2 linked regions of the Arabidopsis thaliana genome follow. The protein of the gene in region 2 interacts with the protein of the main gene of each other region in a pairwise test. Each region holds a gene or a part of one and is shown on either strand. Other genes may lie near its edges. The genes, in order: AT1G55460 and SPL7.

Region 1 (14,720 bases), on a different chromosome or scaffold from region 2:
GCAAAGTGTGAGTAGATGCCTATCGTGCTTGTAGTAGGCCTCACAAGGAAAACTAGCACATGTCATACCCAAAAAGGAGTCGTCGCACTTAATACATTCTACTGCATAGGATGAACAAAGGCCCGGCCCATGTGAGCTGAGCATACGTGCCTTGGTCAAGTCGGTTCGTGGTCTACACCCAATGCAATAACCATGGGTCAAGTTGAAGAAGAGATCATGTGGATGACAGCCATGAATTAAAGGATCTGGAAGGGAAGCGCATCTGACGTCTATTTGAAACTCACAATATTCCTCACCGCATTTGTACACGAAACCACAACTTAATCGGTAGCAAGCTTTACATTTGAATATGTCTTTGGCAGCAACTGTATTAAAATCGAACCTGGAGATCCCACCAATCGGGAAGGGGTGGAGGGTAAGTGGGTGTTTATGTATTGGGAGGTATTTTTTGCGAGGAAGAGAAGCACATGCTTCGTCGAGTACAAAATCACACTCCATACAACCATAAAATCTCCGAGAGATTATAATTGGAATCGTGCATGCAACACAATACTTGTCTTTCTCGCAAATGGTTTTCTTTTCTTGGAGCTTCAGATAATGTTCATGACTGAAATGATGAATTGTCTCCACATCAATCCTCACAAATGGCTCGATATCTTCATCAGGTTCTTCAGGCACTCCTTCAAGATCTTCTCCATCCCACACGTCATTCCTCGTTGCACAATGCGAATGGACAGCATAATGACATCCCTTAATACAAGAATATTGCCCATAGTTAACGTCGACGGTTTTGCGACAAACTCCGCAAGAGAAGTCACCAGGTTGAAGGGACAAAGTGAAAGAGAGTCGGTGTGTGTGTCGGGTGATCTGAATGACACGAGGTAGATAGATACATTTTATGTGGACTGTGTGGCTGCAAGGGAGACACGTGTAAAGGAGAGTGCTGCGTGTGCTTAGAGACAAGCCACAAGCATCACATGACATAGGGAGTCGTGTACAGAAGAGGGTGAGCGTGTGCTCATGACTTTTCATGTGTGAGATAGTGAGAAGTGGTAGCATCATCGAGCAGGGCAAGTTGAGATTGAACTTGCAGATAGAACAATGATAATATGTCTTGTCCAAAGGTTTGTTACAACATCGGCAGCTCCTGTGATTTCCATCGGATAAAGAGGCATCAACATTAACATCAGCATCAGCATCACCATCAATATCAACGCTGCCATACGCATCATCATCACCATCAATATCAACGCTGCCATCACCATCACCATCACCATCACCATCACGATCATCATCATCACTATCATCATCATCTGTTGATCCTTCTGAACCGGAGGAGCCATCCCACCAACCGTTGCGTGTGTTTGAAGAGATGAGGGTGAGAGGGTGAGAGGAATGAAAAGGGTGTCTTAGATTCGGCGGAAAGAGGTGACAACCTCTGTGGAACTCTAAATTGCAAGTTGCACAGTAGTAATAGTACTTTCTGCACGTTAAATTCTTGCCTTTGCATGTAAAGCAGATAGAAAGTGGAGAAGGCCGTCGTCGTCTGCAAAGATTGTGGGGCTGAGCCGGATCAGACACACGACATGGGGGTTTAGTTCTAGAATACACCATATGTGTTTCTTTGGAATGAATGAAGAAGCAAATGAGAGAGAATGTAAGTAATGTAAAAGGTTTTCAACTCATATATCGTTCTGGTCTCGCATTTGTCCTTTTAAAAGATCTGCCCAGAGAGTTAAAAGACCAGTTCCAATATAAAGTCAACTACTCAAGATTCTTGTTCTCTCTCTCTTAATCCAGCTGGATCTGAGAGAAGACAAAACTAGTTCAGGCTTCCAGGTAAACTAAGCACGATTATATGAATCCTACGTAATTGAAGGGACTTTAGAAATTAGGCAAGATTAATTAAAAACTTAAAATCTAATTTTCAAAAAAATATGAATTTTGGGGCCTATTTCTAAAGAAATGTAAATGTTGGGGACCTTTTTGTAGTAAGAAAAAAAGACCCTAGAGGCCTAGACACATGTTTCATCTCGCTCGCCCAGAGACTAACATAAATACCAAATAAATCATATATATGAAAGAAGTCTAACTCTCTCCCACAACATGACACCTCAGCAATCCAGCAGTTGACACATCAGCACATATTTTCATATATTTACAAAAAAATCATTAAAAGTAATTAAACGTAATTTGCTCAAACTTTTATATAATGAATCAATTAATGACATTTCAGTTTTACCTCTTTCGTCTCCTTCCAAATTCCAATTCATCCCCTTCGTCTTCTTTTTCGGAATCTTACTCGCCAATCTTTCCAACTTCACATTTTGTTATCTATTTAACTCAAATTTGTAATAATTTTTTAAAATTCACCTACATGATTAGATTGAAGATACAGAGACATGGTTAATAAAGTCATGTTATATTTTTAGTTTAAGAAATATATTTTCTAAAATTTCACCGTCTCACAATCTAAACATATAACAAAAAAATAGGGATATATAAATTTTAAAAAAAAACTGAGAATCTAGGATAACAATAAAAAACAACTCAAGCACATTCGTTTTTCAGATGAACTAATATAGTTGGACTTTTCAAAAACAATTACAAATCATATTTATGTTTTAAAACCGATGCATTCAACTTTATTTTATATGAACAGACATTATATAAAATAATTTGTAAATAGTAATACATAAACCCGCACGTAGTGCGGGTACTCATCTAGTATATTTTAAAAGTACGTATATTCCATAAAATGGCGCAATACAAAAATCTATGCCATTCATAAAAGGTACTATATTCCCTAATATACGAGACCACGACAAACAATTTTACCAATGTTTGGAGATCTCCGTTGAACTTACCTCCAATAATCAAGTCTCTGTAACATAAATCCTAGATTTAATTTAGAAGCACTAAAAATTTTGGTCACTCGTTAGATCAAATTTCAAAAGGCTTCTAAATTCTAATCATAGGTTTGACTTTTAATTTGAGTTTAGAGTTGTTTTGGTATTAGGCGAAACGTATCAACAAATGGCCCAGATGTAAGTTGCCCATATGCTAATTATAAGAAATTGATCATGTCCTTGACTATATTACAGAGTTTTGAGCCGTACAAGTTGGGCTTAATATATAATTTCTTAAAACCCAAGAACGTGTGAGCATCTATTTATGCGCGTACTCAGCGAAAAACAAAAGAACACTTGTGAGAATCTATTTTCTTTATTATGTGGATGCTTGTACTTTTATTTTATCCCCTTGAGTCATGAATGTAAGAGTGTTGGGTGACTCTTAAATCTTTAGATATTACTTAACCATCTCATATCAATGACATAAATAAATACATGACAACATGTCAACATGTAAAATAAAAAAGATTTCATTCACTAGATTCAGAAAACCGTTTCTTTGTCCTTCAAAGGATCTAACTGTTCTTCCTTGCAGAGTAAGCACAGTAAGCCGCCACTCCAGCAAATGCAGCAGCAGTCACTATAATTTAACAACACAACACAACCCAATTTGGTTAATTCGATTGACATTGTTTAAATTGGAGATAAAAACAATGAAAAGATTTCAGAAAACAAACCTGAAGCAATAACAGCCGAGTTGTTATGATCCTTTAGTGTTGTAACTACGCAGTTCGTATCAAATCTCTTTCGATGCCGCTCTATATCTGAAGCCTGCATTATATATAAATAACGAATGATTCATTTATACCAAAACTATATAGATATTAATTAAGTAAATGAATTATTTACCGAAAGTTTTCCAACAATCATATGAGCTTTGTAGAAAATATCTTTAACATCATCATCATCACCCCAAGCATCTTCAAATTTGGAGATCAAATCTTCAGTCACAAGCTCAACTCCACGTTCTTTAGCTTTCATTGCGGGCTGCCACGATCTCAAGAAACCGATAAACCCTTTAAGCGATAGCTTATGAGGAATGTCAAGCATTATAGGCTTCCCTTCTGATCCCATCCCTATACTTTCAAACGGAAACGGCAACGTTTTATAACCGTCGAAAGCAAGATTCATTACAGGAGTTCTAAACGGGAACGTGGAGTCCACAAGACGTTTCATGATGGAATCAACTTCAGGAGAGATGATTATGTCGTTGTAGACAAAAACTGCGATTAATCCTCCTTCTTTGCGAAGAACACGTTTTGCTACGTTGTAGAATGGTGCGAGATCGAAGTAGTGAACGGCTTGTGCTGCCACGATTAGATCAACGGAGTTATCTCCGCCGACTAGAGCAACCATTTGGTCTTCGGACATTGTTGTGGGAGTGTGATGGTAACTGATTCTTTCGTGTTTTACCGCTCGTTTTAACTGTGCTTCGTTTATGTCGGTTGCTGTAACTTTCTCGAAATACTCTGCAAGCTGCAATTAAATTAAACCATGGTAAATGTTGATTAACATTTTAGGTGAATAGTACAATGACAAATACCATTACAAATTTGAACCAAACAAATTTTTTGTTTAATAATTATAAATGAGGTAGATTAGTAACTTTTATTTTCTCAAAATAAAACAAGAGAAATCATGTTCTCAAAATGTGAAAATGTTAATAATTGGTACTTCATTCATAATCATCACTAACATTAGACGTTAATAGTATCGATTGAGATAAATCTATGCTCTAATTAAATCATAAACTCATTAGAAAGAAGCCATTCATCTTCTTCTCTCCTCTCAACTAAAGCTAATAAATCCATAATTGTGTTCTTCTAGAGGGATTAAAACGACATCGTTTGAGAGATCTAAGTGAAGCAGAGTACATAAGAAAGTGGAAACTTTTGGAACAAGATGGAAGAAGCTTACACCAATAGCTGCTTGACCGTTGCCAGTACCAACATCCCAAGCTGATTTGTGCTGACCGGTTCGAGCAGCAAGTTTCGTGAACCAATCGATCGGATATCTCGGCCTTGCGTTCTGGTAAGCATCCGCTAACTTATCCGACAAGGCAGCCATTGTTTTTTTCTCTGTTTTCTTGTTCTTGTTGTTCTATTGCTTTGTATCTCTGTATTGGTCTATGAGAATTAAGTCACTCATGTGTTGTTGTTATATACTGATTGTGGTTTTTGCAGTAGATGAGAAGAATGAGACCAAGTCAAGTTTTCAAAGTCAGCTCTGGCGACGAGTCTACTCCTTACCCCCAAGAATTGGTCCCCTCTTCAATTTTCCAAATCATTTGAATTTATTTCTTTTTTGCTACTCTCGTTGTATATAGTTGACTTTTCTTGAATCTCACTTGTCACACAACTACATTATCTTTTACGATTCTCAATCAATATATCTCTAATAATAGTATTCTGTTACAAATAGGAAATTAATTCAATAAAAATGCAAGATTCAATAATTTCCATTGTGAAAGACTGAAAGTCAAAGATCACAAGATATAAGACCAAACAAGCTGTTAAAATTATTTGAGGCATATATTATAAAGTTGTAAATTTACCTTTTTTTTTCCCCACAATTTACATTTCTTTTCTTATAGGCCCAGTATTGTATGGGCTTTAATTGATGGGTCGTATTCGGTATTCAGGATAAACAATTATATTTGGTATGAGTTTCGGTTTATCATCAATCAATATATTAGCTAATCTTCGCCGATTGAATCTTCATCATTCTCGATCAGTGGTTGTTACCTGAGAAACCCTAGATTTCAATTCCCAACACCTTAATTTTGTTCGACAAACCCAAGAAGATTCGATGGGTAAGAACGATTTTCTAACCCCAAAGGCGATTGCGAATCGAATTAAAGCCAAAGGACTTCAAAAGCTTCGATGGTATTGTCAGATGTGTCAGAAACAATGCCGAGACGAGAATGGATTCAAGTGTCATTGTATGAGCGAATCTCACCAGAGGCAGATGCAAGTTTTTGGGCAGAATCCGACTCGTGTTGTCGATGGTTACTCTGAAGAATTCGAGCAGACGTTTCTCGATCTGATGAGGCGGAGCCACCGTTTCTCTCGTATCGCTGCCACTGTTGTCTACAATGAGTATATTAACGATAGACATCATGTTCACATGAATTCGACGGAGTGGGCGACGTTGACGGAGTTTATCAAGCATCTTGGGAAAACTGGTAAGTGTAAGGTTGAAGAAACTCCTAAAGGTTGGTTTATTACTTATATAGATAGAGATTCTGAGACTTTGTTTAAGGAGAGGTTGAAGAATAAGAGAGTTAAGAGTGATTTAGCTGAGGAGGAGAAGCAAGAGAGGGAGATTCAGAGACAGATTGAGAGAGCTGCTGAGAAATTGAATGGTGGTGGTGGTGAAGGTGAAACCAGTGGTAATGATGAAGTTGTGGATGATGGTGATGATGAGAGGAAGAAAGATGAAGACTTGAGGTTGAAGAGTGGGGTCAAGGTTGGATTTGCTCTTGGTGGAGGTGTTAAACAGGTTGCTACGGGTAAAGAGAGAGGGGAAAGCTCGAAACTTTTGTTTGGGGATGAAGAGAATGACAAGGTTGAGAGAGGGGAGAAGAGGAAGAGAAGTGGGGACTCCGGGAGGAGCGAGAAGGAGAGGAGATCAGCTTTGGATGAGTTGATGAAGGAGGAAGAGAAGAAGAAGGAGAGGATGAATCGGAAAGATTACTGGTTGTTCGAAGGGATCATTGTGAAGGTGATGAGTAAGGCTTTGGCAGAGAAAGGGTATTATAAGCAAAAAGGTGTTGTGAAGAAAGTGATTGATAATTATGTTGGGGAGATCAAAATGCTTGATTCTAAACATGTGTTGAGAGTTGATCAAAAGGAGCTAGAGACTGTGCTTCCACAAATTGGAGGGATGGTGAAGATAGTGAATGGGGCATATCGTGGTTCGAATGCAAGGTTGTTGGGTGTGGATACAGAGAAGTTCTGTGCTAAAGTGCAGATCGAGAAAGGTGTCTATGATGGAAGAGTCATCAAGTCCATTGAGTACGAGGACATATGCAAACTTGCTTAGTTATATCTTTTAGACCATATCGGGTTTTACGATGCCTTGTATTTCTGCTTGAACCTCTTTTTTTTATATACAAGTGAAGCACTCTGTTTCCTGATAGCTAGCCGCGTTAAAAAGGTACTGCAGATGAATCTATTTCACACATGTTATTCGATCTGGTTTGTAGAACGAATTGTTTTATGTATGGCTACTGTGTAGTATCTTCGAGAAATCTTATGATGTTTTGAATGTGCGTTTGCAAACGAAGCTTGAATAGTAAACTCCAAGTACTGAGATGAAATGTCATGAAAGGCATGAAGTTAAACACATAGGCAGCCTAACTAGAATATTAGAAATGTTGCATTCGACATTTTAATAAAACCAAGTTATCCATTAACTTCTCTACTATATAAGATATCTTTGAAATTGTTCTCTGTTCTTTCATCTTTTCATTCTCTTATTTTTCTCGGTTCTCTTTTCTTTCTTTCATACAAACATATCATATGTAACAAGTTATTCTATAAGTTAAATCATATAAAAAGGTTTGAGTTTCTTTTGTCTTATGATTTTAGTTTTTACCATCGAAATTATTGACCTAAACAAGTTCATAAATTTGGCGATCTAATTAAGTAAAGAAATTTCAATAAATGTAGGAGACTAATTTTTTTTCCCCCCCACAAACACTATTTTATTTAAGTAATCGGTAATAAACTCTCCGCTAGAGAAAGCCATTCAGGAACCGATGTGCTTTCATGGGAGAAAAGACTTTTTCGATCCCGAGCTTTTTTAGCTAAACAATCATCTCGAACAGTAAAACTACGAAGAAGAAATCTAATATGAAAAGAAGAAAAAAACAAACTAAAGATCGATAGGAAGCCAATTCCGCTGCGAATGTCGGCTAATCGTCTTGGTTGTCAATGATAGAAATTAGGTCTGAACAATCTGAAGCAAAAGTACCAGAAGTATTGCTAATAGAGATCATGCATCTATTGCCCATAGCAAAAAGTCAAATTCTGCATGAAACGGTGATAAGCTTCGATGAGTACTCTTGATGCCAAGATGGAGGAGTAAGTCTTGTCCAACAAGGACTCATCCAACATGCCAAGTAGCATCAAGTTGACATTCAGGGAGCTGGGTTAGCGGGATTTGAGAAGAACTTAGGGGAGGAATTGAGCGTATGGGTGCATCTTCTGCTAGAGTTGCTTGTTTCCAAACATCTGCCTCTTGAAGAGCCAAAGTTAAAGTTTCAACAAGAGGTTTTCTAAAGTTCTAGAAGCGATTTCTACTTTTTCAGATATACCAAAGTATCCATGGAAAGAGTTCCAACACTTCTTCTCCGATTCCAAATTCCCGGCCACGCCAAAAAAGAAATCGAAATTATAGAAAAGGGACTTTCTAGGAAAAATATTCTGTGAGGTAGGAATATGCGATAATGCTCAAATCTGTCTCGAGGGTGGACAATGAAACTGGAGATGGTTGATAGTCTCTTCTGTTTAATCTGCATCGGGGGCAACCTTTATATGTACCCTTGTGACGATATGTCAATCTTTGACAAGTGGCTAAACAACCAGAGATACATTGCCACGCGAAATGCATAAGTTTCCGCGTAGTTTTAAGCTTCCATACTTGTGCTTGAAGTGCTGAAACACCTGGTCCCTGAAAAGGGGGGTCACAAGTAGGACGAGACATGTCACGTGCGGCCCAATATCCTGACTTAACAGTACAATTACCGGATTTAGTATAAGACCAGCTATAACCATCACTCAAGTAGATACCGTTTGGACGAATCTCTGAAATGAGGTGAAATATCAACGGGGTCGATCAATGCTTGGAGACGGTCTAGTTTCCACAAATTTTGTGTTTTGGTCGATTAAACATTTACATAGAGTAGGGGATCTCTTATGTTAAGAATGCTCGTCGCGGACCGCACAAGGATGGTGGGAATCCATGGATCTTCTCATACACGGGTCAGCATTCCCGAACCTATGGTCCTCCGAAGTCCCGAGACAAGAAGAGGTTTGGCAGCTATGATGCTTCTCCATCCAACAGACGGACGATTTGAGGCTCCTATATGTAATGGATCACTATATCGAAAGTATCTCCCCCTCAAGACCCTACTCAAGAGAGAGTTTGGTACCCAGATAAGACGCTACCGTTATTTAGCTAAAAGAGCTAGATTAAATTCTTCTAGCGTTCTAAAGTCAAGATCGCCCTCAAAGTGTGGATTACAAAGCTTATCTCATACAATCCAGTGGATACCATTACTATTTTCATTAGTTTTTTACCAGAAATTTGCAATAACACTATTCAACTTTGAGCAAATAGCCTTAAAAAATAGAATGCACAACATAACATATGTCGGAAGGGCTTGTGCTATAGATTTTATAAGAACCTCTTTACCTTCTTTGGACAAGAATTTGGCTGACCAAGTATTAAGTCTTGAAACTTATCTCTCACAAATAAGAAAATTTGGGTTTAAAATAGGAAAAAACTTGGGTTTTAGGTAGGAGAAAACTTGACCAAGTATCGACCACTGTTCTCATAATAAATGTAGGAGACTGCAAACAACAAAAACAGTGGCAACTAATTAATTGGGCAGGACTAGGAGGCAAATCCACAAGTCTTTAAAAAGCAATTCCTTTAGGTAGGCACTGAAAAAGCAAACCTTTTTTTTTTTCTTCTTTCCGGTTGGTCCACTGTTATATAAAGCTTGGTTGGTTCTTGACTTGGTTGTCAAAATCCTAAATCCCAAATAAACAAACAGAGAAAAAAGGGAGAAATATTTAACAACAGTAGGAGTCTACAAGTCCACGGCTTGATCAATTTGTTCTTCATCTATTTCCTTATTCTCAGGGAAATCCAGGGTTTTTGAATTCGTACTCTCTCTCTCGTTGTCCCTCTCAAATCAGAAAAGTATCTGCCTTTTTTAAAATTCATTCCCCTTCGATCTTTGCTTTTTCATCGCTGATTGTTCTTAAAAGGAATCTCTACTTTTTCAATAAGCATTAACATTGTCCGTTTCCTCATCTTTGGTTCTTCGATTCTCTTAAAGAGGATTTTATACTTGATTCTGTTGAAGCCCTTTTTCTGGGGTTTTGTCTGCGTTTGTTTCCTTCTTCTAATCCAGAATTAAAACTAGCTCTCTGCGCTCAAAGTTTTAAGTTTTATTCAAAGAGGTGTAAGCAAATTCTCCAATTGATGATCAACTGTTTAAAAGACTCAATACATGTTTTGATGAGTGTTTTGCTTTGTAAGATCCAGTGTCCCTTTTTTCTGTTTCATCTGGAAGCCATTTATATGTGGCAAGTTAGCTGAAGTTGAAAACTGTTGTTTCAGCCACTAGTGATGATGATGATGATCATGAAGAGATTCTCGAACATGTGGATGGTCTTACGAATGCTGAGGATAGAGAAGAAGTAGATGCAAAGGAAGAAGAAGGTCAAATTGTTGGGGACACTCTCACTCTCAAAAGTAGTCTTCGAAAGGTTGATTCAAATTCAACAGAAGCTGAGAAGAGGGAGAAGAAGAAGGTACAATGGGTGGATGTGATTGGGAAGGAACTTGCTGAGATTCGAGAATTTGAACCTAGGTTGGTCTTCTATTGTTGAGAATATAAGAATGAGTTTGGTCATAAGGATTTTTTCTGATGGCATCAGATTTGTTTTGGTTTCTTTTCATTAAGAATGAGTTCTTTAAGTTTTCATAAGTACTTGTTTTGTGGAGAATGATGTGATTCTTTCATTTTTGCAGTGATGAAGATGATATTGATTCTGATCGAGGCAAAACCTGTGTTTGTATTATCCTGTGATCCGTCCACTTAAGTTTAACTGGGAGATTTAAGGCAAAAGACAAAGTTGGTGGCTTCAGCATTAAATTCCATATACATGGAGGTACATATAGAATCTGCATTTGTGTTCTATAGCCATTCTTAAGTTTGCACGCTTGAAGCCATATGATGATGATTCCTGATTTAACACGGAAGCATTCTTTTTCTTCTTCTTTAGAAGTGTTTAAAGTATAGGTCTTTAACTTCATTCGTTGCTTCAATCATTTAATGAAGTTCTTTCTCATTCAGATTGTGGAGCAAGTTTCAAATATAACAATTGCTATGCATCGATATCTAGTTCTGCGATTTAGTTCAAATGACTTTGATATCAGTGTGTTTGATCAATGTCTAAGTGACAGCTTACTTCAATTTGAGAGAAAACTATTGCTTGTTGTCTTTCACGCAGCCATTGTTTACATTTATAGTAAGAATTTCTGTATAGATATTGCTCTTGGTGTGTTAGCATAATTCTGTCAAACTCGAATCAAATGTTATCACTATTATATTTGGGTGCAAAAACAGCAAGTTTGATAGTGCAGACTATATCTCAAGGCTTAGGCTTTGGAGCACTTCTGTTTTCAATTTCTTCCACTTTACCAGAGGCTCAGTGAATTCCATCAAGAATGTGAATAGATCTGTGGTCCACAAGTATGTAATTGAAAGAAGTTTGTAGCACCCAAGAACTGGTTTAAGACTCATCTGTTCCAAAACTCACCGCTCAATCTGTTAGGAGCAAGAGGTGATTCATTCTTGATTTGGATCTCAGTATCTTTCCTGAGTTATTGTTTGCGGGCGACATAAGAATCATGAAACTAGAATCTCCTCTGTTTCTTTAGAGAGCCAATGACACTTGCTCTGAACGTTACCACTTCTGTCATGTTGCCTTGTCTTCTTGTAGAACTGGTCATATTGAGTCAAAACTCAATTGTTTGTGTAATAAACGAATCCAACTGAAGGGAGATGCGAATTTATGAAGAAGAAAAAAAGGATCAAACTAAAGGTACCATTACAATATGACACGTGGCGAAACACCAAGACTGAAGCATAGCCACTAAAATCATGCAAACTTGTGTAATCCGAAACTTTGAAGCTTTTGCGAAAAACCAACCAACGTCACATAATCGTCTTCTTCAACTAACAAAATCCAACTAATCATCATCTGTCTCTCTGGCTCTGGCTTGTGTCTGAGCTCGAACTTAAAGAAAAAGAATCTCACCATGTCTTTAGCTCCGAGCAGTTATCCATCTCTGTATTCTTCGCCTTCACTGCCAAGAACCCAGCAAACCAAGCAAAACCCTAGTTTGATCACTCAATCCAGTTTCATTTCCGCCAAAAGTCTCTTCCTTTCGAGCAATTCGGCTTCTTTATGCAATACCCATGTTGCCAAACGCCGGAATTTAGCTTTGAAGGCGTCGGAGACAGAGTCTTCAGCTAAAGCTGAAGCAGGAGGAGACGGAGAAGAAGAAGAGAAGTATGAAACATATGAAATTGAAGTGGAGCAGCCTTATGGTTTGAAATTCAGGAAAGGAAGAGATGGTGGCACTTACATTGATGCTATCTTACCAGGTGGATCAGCTGACAAAACCGGAAAGTTCACTGTTGGCGATAGAGTTATTGCCACAAGGTTTGTTCTTTCTCCTTCATGTTCCAATGTGATTAGCTTGAGAGACTGTGAAAGTTTTGACTTGGAACTTTGAAAATTGAGAATGCAGTGCAGTATTTGGAACAGAGATTTGGCCTGCAGCTGAGTACGGTAGGACAATGTACACAATTCGTCAGAGAATTGGTCCCTTGCTTATGCAAATGGAGAAGAGAAATGGTTTGTTGAATTTCCCATATTCTAGCTCTGTTTTATTTTATCTATTCTCTCTGCAAAACTCATTATTGGGTTTGGTTATGTTTAAAATGTGTTGTGTCTTCTTCTCTTGCAGGTAAGGCTGAAGATACTGGTGAGTTAACAGAGAAGGAGATCATAAGAGCTGAGAGAAATGCCGGATACATTAGCAGTAGATTGAGAGAGATTCAGGTGAGCTCAAAAGTTTTGATTATGTGACATCAAAAGTAATGAACTTTGGCTTGTGAGTGAGCTTTGTTTTTGTTTTTATAATTGTAGATGCAAAACTATTTGAAGAAGAAAGAACAGAAAGCTCAACGGGAGAAGGATCTTCGTGAAGGGCTGCAATTTTCCAAGTAAATACTTAGTGAGTATACCAAAGGGGTTTATGGAAACCGGAAAGTGAGCATTGACATGTGTGTAATTTGATATAGGAATGGTAAGTATGAGGAAGCATTGGAGAGGTTTGAGTCGGTGTTAGGTTCTAAACCAACACCAGAAGAAGCATCAGTTGCAAGTTACAATGTTGCTTGTTGCTACTCAAAGCTTAATCAGGTAAAAAGCTTTTGAATCTTTTCAGATATTGCATTTTGACTTGCAGTGTTGATAGAGTTATTTTGATAGGTTCAAGCTGGTCTCTCGGCTCTGGAAGAAGCATTGAAGTCAGGATATGAAGATTTTAAGGTAAGTCCAAGGAGTTGTAATGTTTCAATTGAGACAGAGAGAAGGATGGACTTGTTTGTTGAAGCTGTGTTATTTGTTTTGTTTGCAGAGAATCAGAAGTGATCCAGATCTGGAAACTCTCAGGAAGTCGAAGGATTTCGATCCACTTCTGAAGCAATTCGACGAATCTTTCATCAATGAGAGTGCCATTAACGCCATCAAATCCTTGTTTGGCTTTAACAAGAAATAGTTCACCTAAAGTTTGTGTCTTTTGATGTGATCTGTTCATAGCTTCTCTTCTCTTCTTGGCTCTATACATACTTGTGAGGAATTTTATTCGATCATAAATGTGTTCTTTTTTTCTTAAGAAATTCTTTTAACCATTTCATTCAGTTTACGTATACCATTTCATATGAAGTGATAATAAATCTTCAAATCTTTGGATCAAAAGTTTCATATTTGGCGATTTCGAGATATTTCGAAGCATTGAGGGAATCATGATTTATTCATATGATGATTAATTCAAAATTTCAGTTTCACATTACACATTCTCTTGTTCAAAATCATTACACTCGCAAGCTAAAGTAATCCGTTTCAATATTAGCCTATCTCCTCTTAGTATCCATATCCTGAAATAAGAGAGGCCAACAAGATTCAGCAATGAAACATGAATATTGAATGCGGGGGATCTTTACCAAAGACTCAAGTATTTGAAATTCTGAACAAACCTGAGTTGTCCATTGGGTTGCCGACGGGAACTGGTTCAGGTTCCTTGATCTCAACAACAACGCAGTCCGACATCAAGAAAGTCTTTGCAACCGAAGCTGCGTGTTCCAAGCAACATCTCACAACCTAAAATCAAGATAAAGCCACTCAGGTTCATGGATCTTTGATGACCAATTTAGCTAGCAAAGACAGTTTCTGTATATGCACAGAAAACTTACCTTTGTTGGATCGATGATTCCTGCAGCCATCAAATCCTCGTACTTGCCGGTTGCAGCATTGTAACCGAATTTCACGTTATCGTTGGAAAGCACCTGCCAATGAATAGAGACATCTCTTCAAGCATCTGACTTGAAATCTAGAGATAAAAAAGTGGGAATTATGTTATCTGTTGTTATTACCTTCTCGCTAACTACACTTCCATTAACACCAGCATTCTTGGCGATTAGTTTTAGGGGGTAACTTAGTGCTCTTTTAACTATATCCGCTCCAACCTAAAGGGAATCATCAGCAAAGTTAGAGAAACCGAAGGTTCATGAGTTAAAATCTGAAGACTTGATTGATTTACCTTTTCTTCATCATTATCAAGCGTGGCTTTAATGGCATCAACCTTGGAAGCAAGACGAAGCAGAGTGCAACCACCACCAACAACAATACCTTCCTCGACAGCGGCCTGAAGAATTAAAATCCTGATTAGTTATAGTTCACGAGTATGCAAATAACACGCTTCTCAAGCCTCAGA
Region 2 (17,951 bases):
GTTGACCAAGTGGTATTCAAGCTCTAGCTTACCAAAGCTGGTGAAGATGACATTTGGTGAAATAAGTCTTCAGGTTCAGATTTTAGGAAAAACAGACACCCTAATAAACATTTTTTCTACAAGACTTATCAACCTAGACGTGTCCAATTTGTGCCTTGTCATTGTATTATCCACACACAACTGACAGACAATCTAAGTGACTAGGAACCAGTGCCGTTTGCATTCACATGAGCGAGTTCCAAGAATAAATAAAGAGCCTTATGAAACAGAGAGTCATCATACACTATTATAACAAATGCCTAATAGATATAGATGAGAATCAAACCTTGACTCTCGCCTTGGAGGCGAACGCGAACGTGAATGAGCTGATGACAAGAAAGGACATAGTTAGTAAACATCACAGGGTACATAGGTATTGTTCTAACCATACACTGCAGTTGTCCTGAGACATATCAAAAATGTTAAAAGCAAACCAAAAAGCTACTTACAACGATATCTGCGCCTTGGTGATCTGTGTGAAGTCCTCTTGTAGTCCCCGTGTCGACCACTATATTAAACGAAATAGGATTTGGAAGTAACTAAGATAATTACTTACAAAACATTTACATTCATATAAAAATATGATACAAACACAAGAAAACGGACTCTTCACCTTGTACCGTTAGTAGTACGCATTTCTTGTGGAGTTTTCCGGTTCTCCTCAGCGAAAACAATGGCTATCTCACGCCCACCAATAACTTTGTGATTCATTCGTTTCATTGCCTCAGCTGCATCTTCAGCATAACGATACTTAACAAATCCAAACCCTCTCGGCTCCCTAAACCACAAAATAATATCACATTAAAGTTAAGAGTTCCTACTCAACAAACAACTACTTGAACTGACACCAAAAGTTACCAATCAAATTAGTCAAGAATCCATACACATTGACAATGTGACATTGTTAAGAGAAATAACCAGTAAGCTAAAGCTAAGCTAGGAAATAGCTAAAAGCATCTGATTATAAAAGACAAAGCTTGACATATACCCAGTATAATAATTCCTAGGCAGGTATATGTCCTTGAGTGGACCAAACCGTTCAAACGAATCCCTAAGATCGTTCGGCCTGAAAAACAAGAAAACATTCCAAAACTCGTGTCAATTAATCAACATTAGAGAACTTGTGATGTCCTTGATGGAATCTGAACAGTAGAGAAGGACGGAGAGACCTAGCATCGAGAGGGAGATTACGGATAAGCAAACCAGAAGGACCAGAGGATTCGTGATCACGAGAAGACGGACGTTCGCGGAGGCGATTATCGTCGTAGCCTTTCCGTTCGCGAGGTGGTGACCTGTCACGAGGACGGGGACTATAGCTTCTGCTCCGGCTTCTCGCTCTAGCCATCGAAGATTTCTCTTCCTTAGGTCTTCTTCTCAAACAAATCCAATCTTCGGAGCAATTGAATAGCAAAACCCTAACCCTGTCGGAAAACGAGTTAGAGAGTGAATTTTGGAGGGAGAGAGGAAGAAATCGACGACTGTGAAAGTTTTTCAAAACACAACACTTGCCGGAAGCTGGCTACGGTCTGACTTTGTTTGTTAATTCTTATGGGCTTTCAAATTTGCAAACTATGGGCTTATATAAATCAAAGCTTTAAAGGCTTTGTGTCAAAGTTGTTGACAAAAAAAAAGAAAAAACTCGTACCTTGACTCGTCCGGTTCCAAAAACTCGGTCACCCAAAAATAAAAATCAAAACCCTTCGATAAACCTCCCGGAGGAGAGGAGACACCCGAAATGTTCGCCGTATCACCGTCGTCATTCTCGCCGACAACCATTTCTCCGGTGAGTTACAATTCTTCTTCTCGCCTCAATTTCTTTCCCCATAATCTTCACGTTCTCTCGCTCTTGCCTCTTGTAGCGCCGTAGTGGACAGAGGAACGAACCTCGAAAATTCTCGGTGGTGAGAGCTGGAGCTAAGAGAATACTATACGGTAAAGATAGCAGAGAGAAACTCCAAGCCGGAATCGATAAGTTAGCTGATGCTGTTTCCATCACCTTAGGCCCTAGAGGTTAGTGAATTAGATTTCGATTTTGGCTACGATTTGAAGTTTTTTTCCGGGCAGAATCTGATTATGAGCAAACCAACCCTTCTCTGGGATTTCGAATTGATTTTTTTTCAATGTGGAAACCACGACGCAGGGCGTAATGTAGTGCTTGCTGAAAAAGATACAATCAAAGTGATTAACGATGGTGTCACCATTGCTAAATCTATTGAGCTTCCTGACACTATTGAGAACGCTGGAGCAACATTAATCCAAGAGGTTATTCATATTCATGGTGGCTAAATGATTCCCCTTCTTTTCCCCATTGTTAGTTCATTCTTTGAGCTCTAAATGGTATCAATTAGTTATCTGAACCTTGCGAGTTTCTATCTTGTGTAGGTTGCGATTAAAATGAACGAATCAGCGGGTGACGGGACAACCACTGCAATCATTTTGGCTAGAGAAATGATCAAAGCTGGTTCTTTGGCTATTGCTTTTGGAGCTAATGCTGTTTCTGTGAAGAATGGAATGAATAAGACTGTTAAAGAGTTGGTCAGGGTGTTGCAGATGAAAAGTATTCCTGTTCAAGGGAAGAATGATATTAAAGGTTACTTTATACTTATTACTAAATAATTATGATCCAACTCCTGTCTTAATTTTGAAATAATAGGGATTTTTTGTGTTCTGTAGCTGTGGCTTCAATCTCTGCTGGTAACGATGAATTTGTGGGGAATTTGATTGCTGAGACTGTGGAAAAGATTGGCCCTGATGGTGTCATCTCCATTGAATCATCTTCCACTTCAGAAACGTCTGTTATAGTTGAGGAAGGAATGAAGGTTAGTTTCAAACTTAAGTTGGATGTTTTAAAGGCTTCACAATGGCAGTTTCACACTTACCATTGTTAACATTATCAAACCATTGAGTTTCTGTGATTCATGAGGAAATTTCTTTTGTACAGTTTGACAAGGGCTATATGTCGCCTCATTTCATCACAAATCAGGAGAAATCTACGGTGGAATTCGACAAAGCTAAAATTCTTGTGACGGATCAGAAAATCACTTCAGCCAAAGAATTAGTTCCGTTACTGGAGAAAACCTCACAACTGAGTGTTCCGCTCCTTATAATTGCAGAAGATATCTCTGCGGAAGTGCTTGAGATACTGGTGGTGAACAAGAAGCAAGGTTTGATCAATGTCGCAGTTGTGAAATGTCCAGGAATGTTGGATGGGAAAAAGGCTTTGCTACAAGACATTGCACTCATGACAGGTTTTTCTCAATCATTTGTACTTTCCAAGTAAATTTTTACTGAAAATTTTCAGGTGATAACATGACAAATCATATACACAGGAGCTGATTATCTTTCCGGAGATTTAGGCATGTCGCTCATGGGTGCAACTTCAGATCAGCTGGGTGTTTCTCGTAGAGTAGTAATTACAGCTAATTCAACAACTATAGTCGCAGACGCTTCTACTAAACCAGAGATTCAGGCAAGAATTGCTCAGATGAAGAAGGATCTAGCTGAGACAGATAATTCATATCTTTCAAAAAAAATAGCAGAGAGAATTGCTAAGCTCACAGGAGGCGTGGCTGTAATAAAGGTCCGATTTTACAATAACCCATTCTTTGTTTATAATATGCTGCGACAACTTGGGCTTTCATCAGAACATAATTTCTACCTAAGTAAGAATAAAAAATACTGTTTCAGCTCTTGATATTTCTTTTGAGTCCTATATATCAGCTTAACCCTGTCTCAATATAGGTTGGAGGCCACACTGAAACAGAACTTGAGGACAGAAAACTAAGAATAGAGGACGCGAAGAATGCTACATTTGCAGCCATGAGAGAAGGTATAGTTCCAGGTGGTGGTGCTACTTATATCCATCTTTTAGATGAGATACCGAGAATCAAGAAGAATCTAATGGAAGATTCATACGAACAAATAGGTGCAGATATTGTAGCAATGGTATGAAAACGTAATGACAAAACAAAACATGTTTTCTTAACCATACTGGATTCGTAAAGTAACCTTTTAAGAGTGAAAAATCACTTTAATTTTTTTGTTTGCAGGCACTCACTGCACCTGCAATGGCCATAGCAACCAATGCTGGGGTTGATGGATCAGTTGTGGTGCAGAAAACCAGAGAACTCGAATGGAGAAGTGGTTACAACGCAATGTCTGGAAAGTATGAGGATCTTCTAAACGCTGGAATCGCAGATCCTTGTCGGGTTTCAAGATTCGCCCTTCAAAACGCAGTTTCCGTTGCCGGCATTATTCTCACAACTCAAGCAGTACTCGTGGAGAAGATCAAGCAACCTAAACCTGCTGTTCCTCAAGTTCCTGGCATACCCACATCATAACCAACCACCACCAAAGGTAACAAAGAAGCACAAAAACCAAACTCTCTACTGCAGATTTTGTCAGAATCTAAACCTTTGCTCACAAAGTGGTGTTTAATCTTGTTGTGTTTTAACTAAACATTAGAATCTGTGATGCAATGGTATGTGCAGAGTGAAAGAAAAAAAAGATTGTTGGAATCATTGTTGCTTATTGTGTTAGCTAAGCTAGTAGTTAGCCTCAAATTTCGGAGAAAGCAAGAAAATGCCTTGTAATGCAAGATTCTTACGCTGTAAGCCCTAGTTGAATGTGTATACGGACATCTTTTATATTATTTTCTTTTGTCAGTTTTGTGCTTAGAAAGCGTCATCAAGTCTCAATTATTATGCAATTTCATCTTATTAAACTTTTGTAGCCTATGTGGTTATGTCGAGACGTATTTGGAGTAATTCAATACATTAAGAATAAGCTCTCAATCGACAATCAGTAGTTTTTATCTCCAATTGAATTACAGAGATCGAACTCGGGTTCTTAATCTTACCAGACCCTTGTGTTTTTCCTCGGTTTCATATGTGGGTTAATGTTTAAATTGTTCATGGTGTCATCATTTATTTTTGGGCCCGGACTGGCCCATCCGAAAAGTGGGCTAATCTCCAATTTTCATAGCACATATTCTTAATACCAATCATTAACCATGTCATATTTCTGTCTGCGAAAACAAAACAAAATAAAGCACAAAAGGGTATATAGTAACTTAGTAAGCACATGGTGGATGAGACACGTGTCTATTTTCTGGTGGTGAATGGCTTGGAATGAGAAGACCAAAATTCCACCACCGTTATTATTGGAGAAAAAAAAAAAGCGAGAGAGAGAGAGCACTTGGGGTCGCTCACGTCCCAAGTAACACTGAACCGACGTCGTATTCGATAATGATTGATGAACCGTTGATTTCCTCAAACTCACGTAGCTTACACGCGAACCTCCCTTCAACCAATCATGTGCTGCCATCATTTAGCGCGTGTCTCTCACGTCCCGACACTTCCTCCTACATAGCTCAACACCTCCTCCTTGGCCACTTTTTGTTTCTTTTTTCTTTTGCTAATTATAAAGTAGGGACTCCCAAATATAAACCTATAGGCTAATTATATAACCAAGTGTCCCAAATATTGTCTCCCAAAATTTTTTTCTGTAGTTAGGGTTTTTAATTCTAAGAATTTTCTTTTGAATTCTGTTTATTATGCAACAAAAGAACGTTTCTATATTACAATTTTTTCAAGCAATCTACTTCTGGTTAATGTAAAACATAAATACACCTTTTTGGATATTATATAACAAGATGTAATAAGTTGAACCATATGCAATAACCATTCCAAAACGAGTCGATTGTGCTATCAATTATCAAACTACTTTTAGTTGTGTTAAGTTGTCATCTGTCAGAATATTTCACATCGTAAATCAAAAAATGATTTTAACATTTTCATTATGCAAAGATAATGGATCTTTCAGGATTTTTATCAATTAATTTTGAATTAAAACATTCTTTTAAAAAAAAAAAATAGTATTAGTGCTATTTGTGAAATGATGAATTTTCGGATTTTTGTCTTTTGCCGCAAAGAATTTTTGAATTATATAAGTTAGGCAAGAAAAAAAAAGAATATGTGAATAAACTATTAAAGCACGATTAACTAATCATGATTGTGTTTATTAGTTCAACGAGTTCTCTGTTGATTGAGTCATTCCACAGATAAAAAAAAAATGTAGACTATTTTAGATAATTTATTTTATTTAGTTCCATAAAATAACTCAAGAAATAAAAAGTTTTGAGATGTCAAAAAAAAAAAGTAATGTAAAAATGCATTATTCGGAGATGTTGATGACTTTGTGCAAAATTACCTAAAACCTTCAACCAAAATCACCAACTTCCTCAACAACCGATGGACCTTTCAATATTTCTCTGAATTTTATCAGAAATTGAAGACTCTCAGATGTCTTCTCTGTCGCAATCGCCACCACCGCCGGAGATGGATATCCAACCCCCGGCATTGGTTAACGATGATCCTTCCACTTATTCCTCCGCTTTATGGGATTGGGGAGATCTCCTTGACTTCGCCGCAGACGAACGCCTTCTCGTCGATCAAATTCATTTCCCTCCCGTTCTCTCTCCTCCTCTACCGCCTCTGATTCCGACGCAAACTCCGGCGGAATCTGAATTAGATCCTTCTCCGGAAGAATCGGGTTCTGGTTCGGATCGGGTTAGGAAGCGAGACCCGAGGTTGATTTGTTCCAATTTCATTGAAGGTATGCTTCCTTGTTCGTGTCCTGAGCTTGATCAGAAATTGGAAGACGCCGAGCTTCCGAAGAAGAAACGGGTTCGCGGCGGGTCGGGCGTGGCTCGATGTCAGGTTCCGGATTGTGAAGCGGATATTAGCGAGCTCAAAGGGTACCATAAGAGGCATAGGGTTTGTCTCCGTTGCGCTACCGCCAGCTTTGTTGTGCTTGATGGAGAGAATAAGAGATACTGTCAACAGTGTGGAAAGTATGTTACTTTTCTTGGCTTTGAGAATAAGAATTGGATTTGATAGGTGAATCCAGCGGGAACTGTCTTAGTTAACCTCCTATGCATCCTCCTGGGATTTTTGTGTGTGTTTGACTTAGGTGTTGTTCAGATTTGATTTGCAGCACAAAATGATCGAAGATCGGGATGGGTTTCTGTTGTCTGTTTGATTGGGATAGAGACTTTGAATCTATTGTTAAGAAATTGGATAACTTTGGGAGAGACTGTTGATCAGTTTGAATGATCCCACGGAATTTACTTAGTCTCTTTGTTGAGCATAAGCTGAGCTTAACTTCTGTTTAGCAGTATTATTGTTTGTATTAATTCTTTCAATCTATGCTGTTATCCATCATTATAGTGAGTAGTACTATCTGGCAGGTTTCATTTGCTCCCGGACTTTGATGAAGGAAAACGCAGCTGTCGGAGAAAGCTAGAGCGTCACAACAACAGACGGAAAAGGAAACCTGTAGATAAAGGAGGTGTTGCTGCAGAACAACAGCAAGTGCTTTCACAGAATGATAACAGCGTCATTGATGTTGAGGATGGAAAAGGTATAAGTGAACTGCGCAAATCTCAAATCATATCACCATGTGGTTTCTTTGTTTTAGTTGTTTGCTTTGCATATTTTGCTAGTTACCAACGTTTAGAGTTCTCTTGGAAATTCAAGCTGATTCGATTGTCAATGCTATCATTTTGAAGCAGATATCACATGCTCTAGTGACCAGAGAGCTGAAGAAGAGCCTTCATTGATTTTTGAAGATCGGCATATTACCACTCAGGGTTCTGTACCTTTTACCCGAAGCATCAACGCAGACAACTTTGTCTCTGTTACAGGTTCGGGTGAAGCTCAACCAGATGAAGGAATGAATGACACAAAATTTGAACGTTCACCTTCTAATGGCGACAACAAAAGTGCTTACTCAACTGTGGTGAGTTTCTCTTCAGCCTCTAACATCAAAAACATCGGTGCACTTAATGAACTAATTTCCCATTTCATTGCAGTGTCCAACTGGTCGGATCTCTTTTAAGCTCTACGATTGGAATCCAGCGGAGTTCCCACGGAGACTACGTCATCAAGTATTCTCAAGAATTATATATTACAGTTTAGTGTTCAAAGACTATGTTTACCTTCTCAGAATCTCAAAGAACTAATATCTTGCGATTAATTTGAATTTGCAGATATTTCAATGGTTGGCCAACATGCCTGTTGAGCTGGAGGGCTATATCCGCCCAGGATGTACAATTTTGACTGTCTTTATAGCAATGCCAGAGATTATGTGGGCGAAGGTACATCCTGTTATCTTTTACTCATCATTTTCATGTTCATGATGCCGCGACACAACATAAGAAATTGTTTATTTTCAGTAGGTTGTAGTCTCGAGATATGCTCTATTTCTCTATGCACCTTACCCTCTTAAGTACCATATACACATTAAAGCTCTTACGTTTTTGTGTGACCTGAAGTTCTTTTGTTACTAAAAATTGTCCATTATTTGGAAGCTTTTGCCCTGGAGGGAGAAAATGCAAACTTAGTATCTCTTCCCGTGAACTCTCTTTTGACTTTGCACTGTAATAAACTTTTCCAATTTGTTCCTGTAAACAGTTATCTAAAGATCCTGTGGCATATCTGGATGAATTTATTCTTAAACCTGGAAAGATGCTGTTTGGAAGAGGCTCGATGACTGTCTATTTGAACAACATGATTTTCCGTCTTATTAAAGGCAAGTTGGTGTGCTTTACTTGTTTTCTCTGGATTTTTTCACTCTATCATATTGGATAACCATAATGTCGTGAGCTATTAATGTGAACTAATACTTATTTGTCTTGGTTTTGACAGGTGGAACAACTTTAAAGAGAGTCGATGTAAAATTAGAGTCGCCGAAACTTCAGTTTGTGTATCCTACATGTTTTGAAGCTGGAAAACCAATTGAACTCGTTGTATGTGGACAAAACCTTCTGCAACCTAAATGCCGGTATTAATGTCAACCCTTTTTTTGAGCTATGCTTCAGACATCTCTCGCATTTCTAGTTCTGTCTTATTTCTCATATGAGGAAGCTGATATTGCAAGAACTTTCAAAATGTTGCATTTCGATTACTACCCATCATTTGTTGGTTTGATTTTTATCACTTGTGATTACTAAACTGTTCCATATACGAAAGAAAAACATGCTGCTTACAGATAATGGTTTCATTGTAGGTTTCTCGTGTCTTTTTCTGGGAAGTACTTGCCACATAACTATTCTGTTGTACCTGCACCGGACCAGGATGGGAAGCGTTCTTGTAATAACAAGTTCTACAAGATCAATATTGTGAATTCTGACCCTAGTCTCTTTGGCCCTGCCTTTGTCGAGGTACCCATTTGTTTGATGATATACAGTTTAGAAGTAGCTCATTTCAATACGATCCTCATCTAATCCTTTTGTAGGTTGAAAATGAATCTGGCCTATCAAATTTCATACCTCTAATTATTGGAGATGCAGCTGTTTGTTCCGAAATGAAACTAATAGAGCAGAAGTTCAATGCTACACTCTTTCCAGAGGGACAAGAAGTTACTGCTTGCTCTTCTTTGACTTGCTGTTGCAGGGATTTTGGGGAGAGACAGAGCACCTTTAGTGGCCTCTTGTTAGATATTGCATGGTCGGTGAAGGTACCCTCTGCAGAACGCACTGAGCAACCTGTGAACCGATGTCAGATAAAAAGATACAACAGAGTGTTGAATTATCTGATACAGAATAACTCAGCGTCGATCTTAGGAAACGTACTGCACAATTTGGAAACTTTGGTGAAGAAAATGGAGCCAGACAGTCTTGTTCACTGTACCTGTGACTGCGACGTGAGGCTTCTACATGAAAATATGGATTTGGCGAGTGATATTCACAGAAAGCATCAAAGCCCTATAGAGTCAAAGGTGAATCCTCCTTCGTCAGGTTGCTGTTGTGTGAGTAGTCAGAAGGACATACCATCAAGAATATTAAACTTCAATAAGGTTTTTCACTATTATCTGACTTCCCCTATTTTCCTGTTTGATCTATACTGGACTCTGCCCACAATCTATACTTGTCTTGCACATTTGGTTTCTTGCTCCACTCCTGAGTGCTGAACACTAACTTTTGTGTGTTTATGGTATATTTGGCACATTGTGACAATATTACAGGAGTCTGCGCACAATATTGTGTCTGTTTCTTGGTTTATTTGCATAGTTTCTGTTATTTAATGTTTGCCATTTATTATGTTTACAGGATCCTGAAGCAGGATTAGATTGTAAAGAGAGAATACAGGCAGACTGTTCACCAGATAGCGGCGGAAAAGAGACTGATCCTCTGTTAAACAAAGAGGTTGTCATGAACGTAAATGACATAGGAGACTGGCCAAGGAAGTCGTGTATAAAAACGCACTCAGCTTTAGCATTCAGGTCCCGTCAAACTATGTTCTTAATCGCTACGTTCGCTGTCTGTTTTGCTGTCTGTGCGGTTCTCTACCATCCAAACAAGGTCACACAGCTTGCAGTGGCAATCCGAATGAGATTGGTACACAAAATTTGAATATAAGTTCAACGGCAGAGACTCTCATTAACGTGTGTGCATCAAAAAGCTCGAAGAGAGCTGTAAGAGTGTTCAACAGAGCTCAGCCACAACAGCTTCTCAGAGAGTTTCCCTTCAGAAAGAGACAGGATATGATCAGATGAGGTCTTGCTCTTTCTGTGTGTTCTTCTTCCCAATTTCTATAAGACCGGTGATGCTGCAACTGTAATAACAAGAAATGCTCAGATCAGTGATTAATTATCTCTAGTCGAATAGTGTTTTATGTATATTAGGGTTTACTTTTGCTCACTGTAACCTGTTTTTTCTTTGTTTCTTGGTCTAAGAAATGATTCTTGAACAAATCCTAATCGTAACTTTATGCAATTTTCTACTTCAAGCAATGTCTTGGCTCTTGAGATCTCTCTAAACTCTGTTTGGTCACCTCTATTATCAAATGTTATCTTTGACTTTTCTTATTATTATTGTCAGTCCAATAGATTAACTAGTACTCAAGTAGCATAATAATTTGAGATGGTTTTATTCTTTTCTTCTCTTTTTGAAGTACAACTGTATTAAGATGCATGTTGGATTGAGAAATCGGCACTGAGATTGATTGCAACATAGAAGGCAAATGGGTAGAAAAAGACAAAGAAGATGAGATTTGAAAACAACGAAGAGACACACATATAAGGAAATGCGTCAGTTCTGAGTCATATATTTTGGTAAACGACAACATTCTAACATTTTATTTATTTGCTTTAGATGTATTCACCTTTCTTTAAACGTATCAAACGCTAGCTTTAACGTGCTAATTTAAACATAGACTAATCTATTTTGCCTTTAAAAGTTTGCTCAAACTTAGAAGCATTTCTCTTTAACAAAAGAAAACTATTAGAGATTACTTGGACGTATGCAAGATACAATCTCAATTCTCACCGAAAAAGTTTGTACAAGTTCATTTCACTTTTGCAGTCATTAGTTAGGTTAGTATTTTTCTTTAAATATATGCATGCTACGCGTGGTTGCTGCGTTTGTTCAACAGCTAACGTAGAGAATTAAATTGCATTTTTTTTTCATTTTTTTGTCGTAGAGAAATTGCATTTTAATTACGTCTCATTACCTTTGACAAAAAAAAAAAAAAATACGTCTTGGAGATACTTTTTATAGATTCATTTCAGTTTGTCAATTAGTTATTATGTTATTATAAATAAAAAAATGTAATAACACCCTTTTTTCCTCAAATGTAATAACACCTTATATTTTTCAGAAGAGAAAAATATAATGCTGAACTCATCATTATACCCGCACACCAAAATGAGTGATGTCATGCGTTCAAACATATGATTTGGTACATCAAAATAATGTCCGACCGTACGTGTACATATAATATTGGAAAATTTAGAACTTGCGCCAAACAACACATCACATGATTCATTGAACAAAATGATATGCACATGACTCAAATGAGTTGTACGATAGCCTAAAATCACTGTTTTAAAAATACGCAAAACGGTTATATCGATTTCGTTTGTAATTACAGAAGGAAAAAAAATCATCTTGGAAATGTGCTTTAATTAACGGAAGGTACAGTTTAGTTCATGTTTATTAATTTGATGATCTAGAAGTAAGATAACCCGTCGGATTAGAAAAGTCCATGCATGAAATCCTACCAACGGCATGAACATAACGCATCCACAAATATCTTTAAAGACGAATTTTGATACGATTTTGCCTTTGTTCAGAACAATTTAGAGGTTAGTAGTGACAGTAGTTAGATATTACAGTATACAAAATTACGTAATAAATCATAAAAAGAAACCAATAAACATGTACAAACAAATCTAGTATATAAGTACATGTGGACCCAAAAAAAGCAAGCAAATGTGGACAAAATATTGCTGAAGCTCGTACATGGGTACATGATCGCAATCACTATGGCTAGTTTGGAAAATACCCACATGGTAAGATATCAACATGAAATCCGAAATCAGTTTCAAAACAATTTTTATAGATTTATTGTCAGTGCCGGCTGAGATGGTAAGGCAGGTGCGACAGCCGTATAGTACTTTAGTGACGAGTAAAAATTAAAGTTTGTAACCCTTCCAAAAAGGTATTAAGAAAATTGTATGATCAATTCGATCTTTAAAATAACATGTTTTCCATTTCATGAATATCAAGACTTATAAACTTTTGTTGTTTTATATAAGTTGATACAATTGTTTTAATTTTATGTAAAATAATAATGAATTACTTAAACGTGAAAAACAACTTCATATGTTTTGTTCGATGTATACAGTTACAAATTACATTGAATCTCACAAGAAAGGAAAGTCGTAGTATTATGAGATTACATTACTTGAAAGATTAGATATAAATAGTAATAGTAATGTAAAAGAACAAGGAAAAACTTATTAGGTAGTAAAAAAGAAGAGAATGAAGTGGAGATGACTAACTCTAGGGGTAAACATCAGAGCCAAGTCAGTGAGAGCTTCATCACAGTCCCCACATGAGAACTATTTTTGTCAGTATTAATCTCAATCATTATCGCATTTAATATTTCATTAATCTATTTTGCCGTCGAAGGACAAATATTGTAAAAATCTTCGTCCCATGTCGAGACTTTACATACATCTATTACCTATAAATACCTAATTCACGAACCAAAGTACTCTTCACATCTATCTCTTTCTCTCTCTTTCCTTGCAAATTTTCAGCTCTCAAAGAGTTAAGAGTTAGAGAGAGAGAGGATGGCCATTAGGGAAATCAAAGATGTAGAGAGGGGTGAAATAGTGAATAAGGTAGAAGATCTTGGGAAACCATTTTTGACTCATGAAGATGATGAAAAAGAGAGTGAGAATAATGAATCATATTTGATGGTTCTCTTCAGTACTTTTGTTGCTGTCTGTGGCTCCTTTGAGTTTGGCTCTTGTGTAAGTTTTTGCCTATAGCGAGAACACTCTCTTTCAATCCGAAGTTTCCTTTATAGTTGCCAGCCTCTGTCTTAATTAATTCACCAAACTATTTTCTCAGATTTTCTTTTGTAATTATTTGTTAAAGGTTGGATACTCAGCGCCTACTCAGTCATCTATAAGACAAGATCTCAATCTCTCCCTTGCAGAGGTTTGTGTCTATACTTCTGGCTGAACCAGAGTTTCTTTCCTGAACTCTTTTATCAACTAGGATTTTTCAAAATTTTAAACTTACAATATTTTAACTTCCGGGGAAATCACAAAACCGCGGTCCAAAAAATGGAAGGAAACAAAAAAAAAATGTACGGTACTCCGGCGTGTTTGGTTCATAAATTCATGTAATTAGACTTGCAAATAATATTGCTTTGTCGAAATTTTGGACATCTAGCTAATATTTGTGATTTTCGGTAACTAATACGAAAGAAACATAGTTATACTCTTGCAAAATGATACTAATGGACAAACATTGTAGGTTGTCTAAATTACATCTTTAGCTACAGCAAAAAATTTACACATAGCTAGCTATCTTTTTACCTATTTAGTTAATATGGCTGTGCTATATGGACCAATTTTATTCAACTAATCCCATTTAACTATATATATTTTTACTACAAATTTACAGTATATAGGAGATCATTTTTGTGTGTTGTGTGAAAAATGCAGTTCTCCATGTTTGGATCCATCTTAACTATCGGTGCAATGCTTGGTGCTGTTATGAGTGGGAAAATTTCAGATTTCTCCGGCCGAAAAGGGGTAAATATATCTTGCCAATCCTTGTAAACTTAAGGGGCCAATAATACAACTAAAAAATAAAAAGCAATGCTTATATATGTCAAAACTCATTTCAGGCAATGAGGACATCAGCTTGCTTCTGCATTACAGGTTGGCTCGCTGTCTTCTTCACCAAGGTAACACAGAAACTTATTTTCAATTATTTTGCAACACCGAAACTACATATGCTGAAATTAGTATAGATTTTGATCTTAATATGATGTTAAAATGTGGTGCAGGGGGCATTGTTACTTGATGTAGGAAGGTTCTTTACAGGATATGGAATTGGAGTTTTTTCTTATGTGGTAATTTACTCTCTTTTTCACCAAGTAAATCTTACATAATAACTCTAGAAGTCAACATTTTATGTAGTAGTCAAAGATAAAGCAGTGTGATTCTAATTCTACTGGTTTTGGCAAATTATTTTGATATTTATGAACCAATGTTTATAAAACTCTCAGTCTCCAAAGTAACTGAATGCAACAAATCAGGTCCCTGTGTACATTGCTGAGATATCTCCCAAGAATCTCCGAGGTGGACTCACAACACTGAACCAACTCATGATTGTGATCGGCTCATCGGTTTCTTTCTTGATCGGATCTCTCATTTCTTGGAAAACTCTTGCCCTAACCGGTAAATTTCTCTCTGTTTCTATGTTACTCTTTATAGAAATTCCCTTTGAAAACTGATCAAAATATGTTTTTTGTCTTCAAAGGACTTGCTCCCTGCATTGTTTTGCTCTTTGGCTTGTGCTTCATACCCGAATCTCCTCGATGGCTGGTAATTTTCTATCTGATTCATGATTTTTATCGATCTTTTTTAAATATAAGTATCCAAAACATGATCTAAATATTTCATTCTCTTGCAGGCAAAAGCAGGCCATGAGAAAGAGTTTCGCGTAGCCCTGCAAAAGCTGCGAGGAAAAGATGCAGATATCACAAATGAAGCAGACGGTATTCAAGTCTCGATTCAAGCTCTAGAGATTCTTCCAAAAGCAAGAATCCAAGACCTTGTGTCCAAGAAATATGGTCGATCTGTCATCGTAAGTTTAACTAAGAAGTCAAAAACATAATTTATCAATCTTTTGTATATATTTGATTCATTAAACTCATGTGTGATCGAATGTTCTTCAGATTGGTGTTTCCCTGATGGTATTCCAACAGTTTGTTGGAATCAATGGGATCGGATTCTACGCAAGTGAAACGTTTGTAAAAGCCGGTATATAAGATAGACCTCGATATCTTTTCTTGTATCAGAACCAAGTAAAGTTAGATTCTAACATATGTGTTTAAAACACTTGCAGGATTTACCTCTGGGAAACTAGGAACAATCGCTATCGCTTGTGTTCAGGTGGAGAAACGTTTTCGCTTCACTCGATAACTCTATGATGATCTGTACTCTTATTAGTGTTTAAACAGATTGATTCCTTTTTAACAGGTGCCAATAACTGTTCTTGGAACAATCTTGATAGATAAATCTGGACGAAGGCCACTAATTATGGTAAAATCTTTGAGTCTACGAAATGCGCTTTCGAGTCAAAAGTTTCAATTTTATAACATGTACAAATGTTGCTGCAGATTTCAGCTGGTGGTATCTTCTTGGGATGCATACTCACAGGCACATCTTTCTTACTCAAGGTCCGTATCATTAACCCTAGCTCAACCCTGTTTTCACTTTGAAATCGATTAATCTGTGCGTTAAAGTCAAGTTGTCACATCAAATTATTATATTTTGGATTCAGGGACAGAGCTTGTTGCTTGAATGGGTCCCTTCCTTAGCCGTTGGAGGTGTACTTGTAAGTAAAACTTAGTTGGTTCTTACTTTTTACCAAAAACAGAACTCAATATATTGTCTGAGCTGAGGTATGTTTCTTGTGTAATACTATAAATAATCTCTCTTCTTCACTATTTTAGATCTATGTAGCTGCTTTCTCCATCGGAATGGGACCTGTTCCTTGGGTGATAATGTCTGAGGTATGTTTCCTTGTGTAGAAAGCAACCTTATTTTGAAACAGATTTGTTACTTTTGTAGCAAGTAAATTTGTTTAAAAACAGAGTCAATGCTTTTAGAAGAGTATACTGAACTGGTGCTCTGTTTTTGGGGATGAAACAAACACAGATATTTCCGATAAACGTAAAGGGAATCGCAGGAAGCTTAGTGGTACTAGTGAATTGGTCTGGTGCTTGGGCTGTTTCTTACACTTTCAACTTCCTCATGAGCTGGAGCTCTCCAGGTAAACACTCTTTAAGGGCTTGTTTGGGGAGAACAGCGTGTAATAACCGCAAGAAAACCACGTTCCAGAAACGCTTAATTGAGTTTTTATTTGTGTAGGTACATTCTATTTGTACTCGGCTTTTGCAGCTGCGACGATAATATTTGTGGCGAAGATGGTGCCAGAGACGAAAGGGAAGACACTGGAAGAGATCCAAGCTTGTATTCGAAGAGAAACATAAGAAGAAAGATACAATCAATGTTATGGGAATGTTATCAAATGAAAAGACTCGAACTATTCCCGTTGGTGAGCTCAAAGTGGAGTAGAGTAAAAATTATCGCCGGGAGATAACGTTGAAAGTCCGATGATGAGGCATAAGGGTTTTGCATGAATGTTATGAGAATAGGTTTACTTTTATGTATTTGTTCACGTTTTAAGTTTTCATCAAATAGGTTTTTGATTGGTATACAGTATGTGGAATATTAATAGAATGGAGTGGCAGATTTCATATTCAATCATTCTACATGCTTTCAATCAAACCAAGTCCGTGAGATCAATACATCAAAACCCTCTAGATGCTCTAGAGGCTCCTTGAATTACCATAATACTCCTATCTTCTCGAATGTTAGTTATGTTGATGACGTGGCGCAATTTCTATTTATATTAATTTGTTTTTTTTTTGGAATTTGAGTTTTTTCTGTGTTCTCTGGATTGGGATCACTGGAAGAAGATTATCAATGGCGTCTCCATCATCGTCACCGACAACAAGAATCTGGTTCCGTACAGTGATCTTAATCGCTTTAATGGTGGTTCTCTTCTACGTTGGCCGTCCTCTCTACTGGAAGATCTCTGCCACAATCCACGACATCCGCCACAACAAACAATCCGTCAGAGAAGGTAAAACACACACACACACACACTCTATCTCTCGATGGATTTCTTGAAATTTCCCGATGAGTTTTTTTTGGATATAGGTATTTCTCAGATCGTACACGAAGCGCAGAGATCAGTGGGATGGTATCACGACGAATCGGATTCAGGGTTCCGAGAAGGTCACAACAAGAAATCGGGAATCGCCGTCTCTCGGAGGCTTCTTTTCGCCGGAGATCAGTGAGAAATTTTCTCCGATCCAAATTTTCGAAATATCAAGTTCTGATGGAGTCTCTTGTTATAAATTATATATTTCATGTTTTTAGGTCAACAATTAGCGTATCGTTTTGTGATGATAATGTTAAATCGGTTAAACAAGTTATGGATTTTGTTTGGCATATAGACTTTTGTAGATTTGTGAGCTTTTTGCTATTGAGTTGAGATTTACTCATTTAGTTTGTTCTTTGCTTCTTTTGATGTTTTTCTTTTCTTAAGTGAATGTGATCAAATTGATTTGAGCGTTGTTGTTTTGATCAATTTTCATCAAACCACTGTCTTATGAGCAGCTGTTCTGTCGAATTAGAAACAAAGAGTAAATTTGTTTCAAATAATGTATGTTGCAAACTGACAAAGCGGAAGAACTCATTTACTAGTATTGTAATCCACCAAAAAAATGAAATGGAGAATGAAAAACTGT

The links.
Region 1: the proteins of SPL7 (region 2) and AT1G55460 interact in a protein complementation assay, tested with the Arabidopsis thaliana proteins (one study listed by BioGRID).

Annotation. Positions count from the first base shown.
Region 1 is NC_003070.9:20,701,847-20,716,566, forward strand, and holds AT1G55460 (DNA/RNA-binding protein Kin17, conserved region), read left to right. Parts: upstream 1-5,460; 5' UTR 5,461-5,720; coding exon 5,721-6,956; 3' UTR 6,957-7,181; downstream 7,182-14,720. Other genes in the region: AT1G55440 (Cysteine/Histidine-rich C1 domain family protein), read right to left, coding at 1-1,614; AT1G55450 (S-adenosyl-L-methionine-dependent methyltransferases superfamily protein), read right to left, coding at 3,428-3,492, 3,590-3,683, 3,762-4,388, 4,803-4,979; AT1G55475 (uncharacterized protein), read left to right, coding at 10,131-10,182, 10,269-10,521, 10,683-10,740; ZKT (protein containing PDZ domain, a K-box domain, and a TPR region), read left to right, coding at 11,976-12,382, 12,471-12,577, 12,690-12,784, 12,872-12,948, 13,027-13,147, 13,217-13,276, 13,365-13,505; CPN60B (chaperonin 60 beta), read right to left, coding at 13,871-13,884, 13,984-14,107, 14,200-14,292, 14,380-14,472, 14,547-14,651. UniProt on the Arabidopsis thaliana protein: Promotes the copper deficiency response by direct interaction with SPL7. Acts with SPL7 in a common pathway to promote copper-responsive genes and alleviate oxidative stress during copper-limiting periods. May promote SPL7 function when copper is limiting.
Region 2 is NC_003076.8:6,269,775-6,287,725, forward strand, and holds SPL7 (squamosa promoter binding protein-like 7), read left to right. Parts: upstream 1-6,215; 5' UTR 6,216-6,341; coding exon 6,342-6,892; intron 6,893-7,288; coding exon 7,289-7,461; intron 7,462-7,612; coding exon 7,613-7,839; intron 7,840-7,912; coding exon 7,913-7,987; intron 7,988-8,089; coding exon 8,090-8,197; intron 8,198-8,513; coding exon 8,514-8,631; intron 8,632-8,747; coding exon 8,748-8,883; intron 8,884-9,108; coding exon 9,109-9,262; intron 9,263-9,336; coding exon 9,337-9,897; intron 9,898-10,150; coding exon 10,151-10,438; coding exon of another isoform or gene 10,439-10,453; exon of another isoform or gene 10,454-10,522; coding exon 10,523-10,588; 3' UTR 10,589-10,793; downstream 10,794-17,951. Other genes in the region: SCL28 (SC35-like splicing factor 28), read right to left, coding at 326-365, 489-547, 653-817, 1,028-1,105, 1,209-1,384; Cpn60alpha2 (TCP-1/cpn60 chaperonin family protein), read left to right, coding at 1,775-1,822, 1,899-2,049, 2,180-2,301, 2,422-2,629, 2,713-2,858, 2,981-3,287, 3,369-3,619, 3,781-3,984 and 1 more; AT5G18840 (Major facilitator superfamily protein), read left to right, coding at 13,180-13,362, 13,490-13,552, 14,065-14,154, 14,250-14,309, 14,412-14,477, 14,664-14,805, 14,888-14,952, 15,041-15,214 and 8 more; AT5G18850 (Low-density receptor-like protein), read left to right, coding at 17,122-17,281, 17,359-17,498. UniProt on the Arabidopsis thaliana protein: Transcription factor that participates in reprogramming global gene expression during copper deficiency in order to improve the metal uptake and prioritize its distribution to copper proteins of major importance.